Linked DNA regions of Rattus norvegicus. The protein of the gene in region 1 purifies or fractionates together with the protein of each later gene. This does not show direct contact. Links are inferred from orthologs where the notes say so. Each region holds a gene or a part of one and is shown in the gene's direction. Other genes may lie near its edges. The genes, in order: Myocd and Srf.

Evidence for each region.
Region 2: the proteins of Myocd (region 1) and Srf purify together in Homo sapiens (affinity purification with western blotting; 3 studies listed by BioGRID and IntAct, with this or other methods). This does not show direct contact. The link is inferred for Rattus norvegicus from reciprocal best matches to the Homo sapiens genes MYOCD and SRF.

What each region holds. Positions count from the first base shown.
Region 1 is NC_086028.1:50,423,974-50,428,418, reverse strand, and holds the start of Myocd (myocardin), read left to right. Parts: upstream 1-1,599; 5' UTR 1,600-1,896; coding exon 1,897-1,951; intron 1,952-4,445. UniProt on the Homo sapiens protein: Smooth muscle cells (SM) and cardiac muscle cells-specific transcriptional factor which uses the canonical single or multiple CArG boxes DNA sequence. Acts as a cofactor of serum response factor (SRF) with the potential to modulate SRF-target genes.
Region 2 is NC_086027.1:21,922,528-21,926,955, forward strand, and holds the start of Srf (serum response factor), read left to right. Parts: upstream 1-1,548; 5' UTR 1,549-1,876; coding exon 1,877-2,377; intron 2,378-3,926; coding exon 3,927-4,193; intron 4,194-4,428. UniProt on the Homo sapiens protein: SRF is a transcription factor that binds to the serum response element (SRE), a short sequence of dyad symmetry located 300 bp to the 5' of the site of transcription initiation of some genes (such as FOS).

The sequences.
Region 1 (4,445 bases):
ACAGTTTTTTCCTTAACGTAAGGTTAAATCGGAGAGAGATGCAGAAGGTGGGGAGGGAGTCGCTAGACTGATAAGACGTAATAAGAACTTGACCCACAATTTCTGTTTTGGAGGATGGAAGAACAGGCTGGAAGCCAAGGAACATGGGTGGCCTCTAGTAGCTGGAAAGGGAAAGGAAATGGATTCTCTTCATGAGCTTCCAGGAGGGAACACAGCTCTGCCAACACCTTGATTTTTAACCCAGTGAGACCTGTTTCTGACTCCCAGCCTTCCAACCTGCACAGTAATGAGTCCAGACTGATGTGAGCCGTTAGAGCAGTTGTGGCAAGTTCCCACAGGAACAGCCCAGTTCAACACTGCTTGTGGAATGCACAGCCACTGCCAGGCTACCACAGGAGGCAGCATGTCGCAGGCCTGTGCTGCTGCCCAACCCTATTCACAAGAGGAAGTTGTGTAGAAGGGTTCCGCCTCCTCTCTGATTCAGTGAGGAAGAACATTACCTATTCCAGAAAACTTTGATTCTGGGATTCAAGTGCATTTGGTGCAACCCAGAGGAGGAGGAAAAGGAAGGTCTGGGTCTTCAGCAACAGATGATGGAGGCAGAAGACCCCGGGATCAGGGCAGAGACTAGCCCCAAAAGATATTGTTATTTTAGGCCTCCACCTGTCCTGGGCTGATCCGTTCAAGAATTCACAGCTTTGAAGCAAAAGCAAAGAGGTAAAGAATTGTACTTGGGAGCCCACGTGCATATAAAGTTGAAAATGGTGGCAAATCGTGTGTTGTGTGTATGCAGTTCAGTTTTTTTAAATATCTAAGTCTTCGTCTTAGATGGAATATTTGTTGTACTTAATGACGCACATGGCACCCTGTCGCCCCAGGCGCCCCTGAGACATGCATCATCAGCGCCGCTTTGAGTGCCCGGTGGATTTCCCACGATTAAGCGGGATGTGAAAAATCTCTGTGCCTTTCCAATCTGGCTCGCCCAGGCCACCGAGTGCGACCCTGCTGAGCACCCAATAGTACACTCAACTTTTGCACACACTCCCCCTCCGGGCTTGGTCCCCAGCCACAAACTTTGTGTGTCCCCAAAGAGAGCATCCAACCACAGCGAAAGACTTTTTGCCACCTCCTCGGACGCTCATAGACAGCGATAGCTGCTCCAGGCATCCATCTCCTGAAGCACCACCGCTCGGATGCAGAGGGAAAGCGGGTGCTCCCGGGAATTGCAAGCCGACCCTACTTCTTGGCTCAGGCTCCAGCGCGTTCCGAGGATGTGCCTTCCCGAGCAGTCCCAGTAGGCTGGGGACACTGGGGACATTCACACCTACGGCAAGCGGATACGCTCCTACCGTCGCCGGGCGCCACCTGCAGCCTTCGAGCATCCGGTTTAGGGGTGTCAGTGCAGAGACTCCCGCCTGGGCAAGCAGTCTTGGCTTAGTATTCTGCAAAGAGTTAAGAGCCTGCTGTTGAGGCTCCTGGGGCCGCGCCTGGTCCCCAGGCCCCGCTCGCCTCTCCTGATTGGCTGGTTTCCTGTCAGTAGTAAAGAGGATCAGATAGCAAACTTGGGACCTTCATAAAGGCGTGGTGGCGATACTCCGCGACCGCTGGCAGCCTATGACATCAGTCAGGAACGCCTAGGATGCGGCTGTTCCTGGCCACCCTCAGAGGAGGAGGGTCCTGCCTGCTGGGAGTTAATTAGCCTCGCAAGCGGCGAGGGGGGAGGCGCCAGTTTTCTGGGGACACTGGCGGCCACTGTGTGTCCTCCTGCCCAAGGGAGCTCCCCAAGAGTTGGATGAATTCTGGGTCGTTAGCTGCTGTCCTCTGGGCTCCCTGGAGCCAATTTCTGGTGGAAAGCGGGGCGTCTGGCCAGCGACCAGCGGCTTGCTGAGACTCACCATGACACTCCTGGGGTCTGAACACTCTTTGCTGATTAGAAGGAAGTTCCGATCAGGTAGAGTAAGGCATTCAGCACTCCTTAAACTTTTCATCTGTACCACTCAACTGCTTTACAATGTATGCCTCGGGCCTGAGGTGGCGGCCTTCGCTCTGTTTCCCCAAAATGAACAGCTGTATTTGACTGACTGCCTTCAAATGTCTTCCCTTTGACCTGTGTTAAGTTTGAGTTTTGTTTATGAATAATCCAATGTCTTTATTCCACCATTATTTTCCTTTATGAAATTAGAAAAATTTGAAATTCTAGAAAATAGAAAATTTTGAGGGGACTCTCCAAAAGAGACTGTGTTGAAATGGGCAAATGCAGGATCTGAAGTTAGAGAGTGGGCGAGTTATCAGTTACAACTGCTGAGACGATGAGCCTAGTACTGTGTATGAAGTCCAGGGGTCACTTAACATGTAGCTAATCCAAACAAATGTATTTCCCAAAAAAGTCACTTGGAGGAAGTAAAAATAGCGAATTTGGAGCACACCAAGAATTTAAAATGACATCACCATGGGGGAAAAAAAACCCAGTGCCACAAATATTTTTTCCCAAACCATCTGATATTTATAAATGGACAATTTTCCCTAAAATTGTTGTGTTAGTGGCACACAGAGAAACTTCTGAAGGGACACTCGGGAGAGGTGAGTCTAAGGAAAGGGTGTTGGGGGGGCCTACAGAAGATGCAGGAGAATGTTCCCTTATTGGCATCCTGGCCGGGCGACCTCGATTTGCACTTTATTGCATTTATAACGGTGGTAACCAACCGTCCAATGATGACAGAGCACCCTTTAAGAAGGAACATTTTGGTGAGAGCTCTGGTGGGAGCCTTCTGTGTAACAGGTGCTGGCTGGATGCTGGTGTCTCTCGTTCTCAATCACCTTTCTTTGCCCTTCTGAAGAGGCACACAATTGTCTGTCTTTAGATGAGTGGCTCAAAAAAATGTGTGCAGTGGGTGATGGGCCATAAGGAGCCTCTATAACTGCCTTAGTTGTTCCTGATCTTTAGGTGTGTGGGGGACACTCTGGGGTTTTTCAAAGGATTGCTCAGTAAGACAAGTTGAAAACTTAAGAGCTTAAGTGACCAGGAGCCACAGTGCCTCTGGAGGTCTGGGGTGTATCTCCTAGTCACCAGCCACCAGGCTCAGTCACACATATTTGTCCTTTCCATGTTGAGGTGAGGTGGTAAGTTTGCTAATCAGAGACTTCACATGCTTGGTAATTTGCTCAAAACCACAAGGCAATACTGCCACCTTTCTGAGGGAGCAAGGATGTCATTTTTGGTTTTTGCATGAAACTGGGTTTATTTCAAATGCTCCTATGCAGTTTAATGGGGATAGAGGGAAGGACAGAGAGGGGCTGGATTGTTTCTAAAAAGATGTGGTGATGGCCTTGATTGTGGGCTGGCACAACAAACTTATCAAGGAATTCCTCAGCTGAAGTAGAGTGGGGAGGGAAGACAATGTTTGGTTTGCACCACTGTAACCCCCATCTCAGTGGATTTGTGCAGGCCTGAGGTCTCCACCTAGACCCTGCAAATCTTTATCCTAGAGCTCTGAAGAAATCCAACTGCACTTTTTTTTTCAGGCATTTGTGTCACAAGGAAGGTAGTTTGGGAAAGCATGATGCAGAGGCAGGAAACTTAATCCTCCATCTTTGATTTTAAAAAGTGTGTGTGTTGGGGGCAGGGGGTGGGGGGCTGGAATCTATGACGGACAAAGCAAGTTGGGCATCTTAGGAGCCGTGGTTGATGATCTCATTCAAGAGCAAGAAAAACATAATTGTAAATCAGTGGATGGCTACTGGTTACTCTTCCTGGACAGAGTGACCTCGGTGGACATATATGGCCCCGAGGCCTGACTGGCATTGTATGAACTACCTCTGTCTAGGGGGCTTTGCTTCACTTCGTGTCTAACAGTGAATGAAGAGGGTTTCTTGTTCACCTTGATCTCTCTCTATATATATTTCTCTCCCTCCCTCCCTCCCTCCCAGTCACCCCCTCGTCTTCCTTGAGGGATTCCACTGCCAACTCTAAAGATTCCTATATGGCTCACTTCCTATATGATGCTCACTTCAACAGTAGATCCTGGTACGATTCTAAAGTTAACGTTTCCAAACTGACTGAAAGTGAGTTATTCTACGGTTATAGCAATGGGCTTGCCGTGATGGCGCATCCACAGTCCCCAGGCAGTTCCTCACATTCTGAAACTGACGTGGACAGCAACCATGCTTTACCAATTCCCCACTAACTCTGTCCAAGTAGCCTTGTGATTAACTGACCCGCCATGGGACTTTGGGACTTTGAATGTTTACATTTGTGAACATGATTGGCAATGTGAATTAACCTTACCTGACAGAGTAGGGTGTCCTGGCTGAGTGTGAGGGTCTCGCTCGGTCAGACTAGCTGGGTTCTCAGACATCGCCTCTTCGGTTTGGGCTACATGACCTTTATAATTCTCAGCATCATAATTCTCTGCATCTTACACACCTCACACCCAAATAATGAAGGT
Region 2 (4,428 bases), on another chromosome or scaffold:
CCCAAGGATGGCACTGCCCACAATGGGCTGGGCTTCCTCCATTGATCACTAATTGAGGAAGTGCCCTACAGCTGGATCTCAGGGAGGCATTTCCTCAACAGAGGCTCCTTCCTCTCTGATGACTCTAGCTTGTGTCTAGCTGACAGCAAACCAGCCAGCACAAGTACCGACACCAGAGAAGGGACCCAGGTCACTTGTTTGCATGCACAGGCCTGCAAAGGTAGACAGACTTTTTATTCGAATAATTTTTTAGATGTATTTAATGCGCACTGGTGTTTTACTTACATGTATGTCTTTGAAGATGTCAGATCACCTGGAACTGGAGTTAAAGACCACTGTGAGCTGCCATGTGGGTGCTGGAAATTGAACCCAGGTCCTCTGGAAGAGCAGCCAGAACTCTTAACCACGTTTGAATAATTTTCTTTTTGACTGGGTTTTGCTATGTAGTCCTGGGCTGGCTTGGTGCTCACTATGTGGGTCAGGTTGGACTTGAACTCGGGGTAATCCTCCTGCCTCAGCCTCCGGAATAGCTAGAATTAAATGTGTGCACCACACAGTCCGGTCAGATTTAAATAGTTTCAGTAACATAGAAGTCCACGATATTTTCTCTATCTTGGAAGAAAGACTCAGACTCTCAGACCCTTAACCTGGGCTTTGTAACACCCACGTTTTAATCTTTATATCTTTTTTTAAAAAAATCCTCCTATGGACCTGGAATGTCGATTACATTCCCTTGCTTAAACTTTCTATCCCGCTGTACTTTCAGGCCTTTGCTTTATCCTCGAGACCACCCCCTCTCTTTCAGCACAGGCGCAGCTGGAAGTCTTCACTGACCTCTCACTCTCCGCCCTGCCCCCATCGTGGATGGGAGGTCGCCCCGTACCTCCTCCTCCTCCAGATGTGTGTCTGCCAAAGACACCCCTCCACCTCCAGTGTAGAGGATGATGAACGATGTGACCTCGCAGCCAGACTTGTGGGAAAGTGTTGATCCTTTGAAAAGAGAGGGAAAGGCAAGTGTGTGTAGTAGGGGAACGAGTGGAACCGCTGGGGTAGCGGAGACGAAACACAAGTTCCCTCGGCTCCAACCACTTTACCTTCCCTCAGGAAGTGGTGGGAGAAACGCTCCAATCTATCCCTGAACCCCTTCGCTGGAATTAGGAAGTATTTTTTCTCATTTATTTTAAACCCCAATCCATTCAGGGGTTCCCTCTTCTGCCCTCCAGTCCTCTTCCAGGTTTCCTCTATGAGAGTTTCAACAATCCACTACTCTCCAACACAGGGGGGCGGAACTGGCTCCGCTCCACTGTTCCTTTAAGGAGTTGGCTCCTCCCCCCCAAGGAATCGCGGTCTGACGCGGGATGACAGCAGCGAGTTCGGTATGTCTATGCAAATAAGTCTCCCCTTCGGGCCAATGGGGAGCGGAGGTGCCGGAAGCGCGGACCAATGGGGCGGGGGCGCTGGGGCTCGCCATATAAGGAGCGGCCTCGCCATAAAAGGAAACATTGTATCTCTTTATATGGGGGGGGAAGGGTTGGGGGATACCTCCGCCGCCAGCGCGTGGTCCCGGCCCCCTCCACCCGCGGTCTCGGCCGCGGCCAGCAGCCCCTGCCCCGCGGGGGACGCTGACGGCCGCAGGGCGCGCCTCCCCGGCACACGGACAGGGGGCGCTGCGCGCGGCCTGGGGCAACCCCGGCCATAGGGGCAGGAAAGTGAGGGCCCAGGTCGGCCCGGGCGTGCAGGGGCCCCGGGTTCGCAGCTGCGGCAGCGACAGCGGCTTTAGCAGCAGCGGGAGTGCCGGGTGGAACCGGGAAGCCGATGGCGGCGGCGGCCCCGATTCCTCGCTGACTTGCCTGTCCGCCCTCCTGCACTCAGCGCCATGTTACCGAGCCAAGCTGGGGCCGCGGCGGCTCTGGGCCGGGGCTCGGCCCTGGGGGGCAGCCTGAACAGGACCCCGACGGGGCGGCCGGGCGGCAGCGGTGGGACTCGCGGGGCGAACGGGGGCCGGGTCCCCGGGAACGGCGCGGGGCTCGGCCCGGGTCGTCTGGAGCGGGAGGCTGCAGCAGCAGCAGCGCCCACCGCCGGGGCCCTCTACAGCGGCAGCGAGGGCGACTCTGAGTCCGGCGAGGAGGAGGAGCTGGGCGCCGAGCGGCGCGGCCTCAAGCGGAGTCTGAGCGAGATGGAGCTCGGTGTGGTGGTCGGTGGGCCTGAGGCGGCGGCGGCGGCCGCCGGAGGCTACGGACCGGTGAGCGGCGCGGTGAGCGGGGCCAAGCCGGGGAAGAAGACCCGGGGCCGCGTGAAGATCAAGATGGAGTTCATCGACAACAAGCTGCGGCGTTACACGACCTTCAGCAAGAGGAAGACGGGCATCATGAAGAAGGTACAGGAGCCGGAGATTGGCGCGCCCCGGGGGGACCTGAAGGGTGGGTGAGCTCTAAGGTAGCCCGGGTGCGAGACAGAGCTGAGGCGGAGGTGAGAGGCGGGCTAGTCCGCAGGAGGTGTGTGGGAGGGGATGGTTGTACCCAGGCCGGGCGAAAGGGGAGGGGCCGCCCGGGAAATATGGGGAGAGGGGAGATGCTGCGAACGTCCGGAATCCTGGGCAAAGGCGCCGGGGTGGGAGTGACCAGCGCGCGGGGGACAGAGGGTCCTGGAAGAGTACAGGAGTGAACAGGGGCCGGCAGGAAGCTGGATAACCAGACGCGGGGATCAACAGATCCACTGTGTCCCGGTGTGCGGGAAGGGCGGTGGAAAAGGGAGCAGAAGGTTTGGAGATGAGGAGGCAGGAGTTGGATGACAGCAGTGAGAGAGCTTGAGTGGGACGAAATGTGGGCATCGCTAGAGTTGTGCGGGCATGAAGGACAGGCAGGGTTAGGAACCAGGTGAGGAAGCTAGGCGGGAGAACTGCTACTGCCTTGAGGAACAGCAAGCTGGGACCAAGTCCCGCCCTGGCCATGTGTCTTCCGTTGCGTTCTGTGGAAATCTCATGCTGCCCCAGGGCCCGCTGCAGAATCGCTGGCCTTTGGGACAGGTAGGGCTTCCAGCTCTAGAGCAAATCAGTGCATGGAATGTTGGGGAAAGTCAGGGAGATTTGTAGAGGTACCACTTGCCAGCTGATAGCTTATCAAAAGTGACAGGATAGTGATAGGAGACGTCTTGGAGTCTAGGAGATGGGAAGGGGTGGAAGCAGAGGGACTGGGAAACCGCCTACAACCTGGGTGGGAACCAGTGTTGTCATCTGTTCCTTGCCGAAGCTGCAAGTGCTTCCAAGGTGGGTTGTGCATTTTCGCTGGGGCTCTCATAGCAGAGTATCTATTGCAAATATAGCTCTCACCATTTTGGGTGCTCTCTCTTATCAGTAACCCTTGATCACCATGGAGAAGGTTTTGGGAAAAGGTAGACAGTACCTTTCCTCCTTTCTTATCCTTCCATCCCAAGGGGAAAGAAAAGGGCAGTGTTGTGTTACAGGGTAAAAGAAGTTAGGCTGTGGCAACAGGTTAGAGCCTGTGCAGTTTTCTGGCAGGGAACATGGGCAGTTTGGCAGTTAGGTGGCTGTTACCACAAATGTGATGTGTGAGTTCTAGTGTGGTAGGGACCTCACTGCCCCTGTGACAGTGAGGAGGAAGCATACACCAGCAGTGTTAGGGGATAGCCCGCTGTGGCTGTGTGTCCACCTTGAGGTTATATGCTCAATCCCTGCTGGAAGCTATTCCTGTTTGCTTGGGATATCTGCAGGCAATGGGCCTGCTTCTTACAGGACATGCGTGGTTTCTCTGCTCCCAGCTCACCTTGAGCTATCTAGATAGGACCCTGTTACAGTCTCTGGATGAAGGTCATCCTAGGAGTCAGCACTAGAGATCACCGTACAGTTTTCCCCAGGGAAGTAGAGAGGAAAAGCGTCGCTGACTTGCCCATCTCCTCCAACTCCCCAGGCTTATGAGCTGTCCACGCTGACAGGGACACAGGTGCTGTTGCTGGTGGCCAGTGAGACAGGCCATGTGTATACCTTTGCCACCCGCAAACTGCAGCCCATGATCACCAGTGAGACCGGCAAGGCGCTGATTCAGACCTGCCTCAACTCGCCAGACTCTCCACCCCGCTCAGACCCCAGCACAGACCAGAGAATGAGTGCCACTGGCTTTGAAGAGCCAGATCTCACCTACCAGGTGTCGGAATCTGACAGCAGTGGGGAAACCAAGGTGTGGTTTTTGGTCACCTATGTGGGGGGCGGGGGGATCCCTTTCCTTTCTTGGACTAACACAGGTACATAGACACTCTTAGTGATGAGGAGTGGGGCCAGGTTAGTGTTCCTTATCCTAGGAGACAGGTGTCCATCCTCCATTCCTGACAGGAGGCTGTCCCACTAGATAAGCGGGCGGCCTCCGTGCCCATATAAGGCCGGTTCGGGCTCCACGCCGGCCTCCCGCCCGCAGC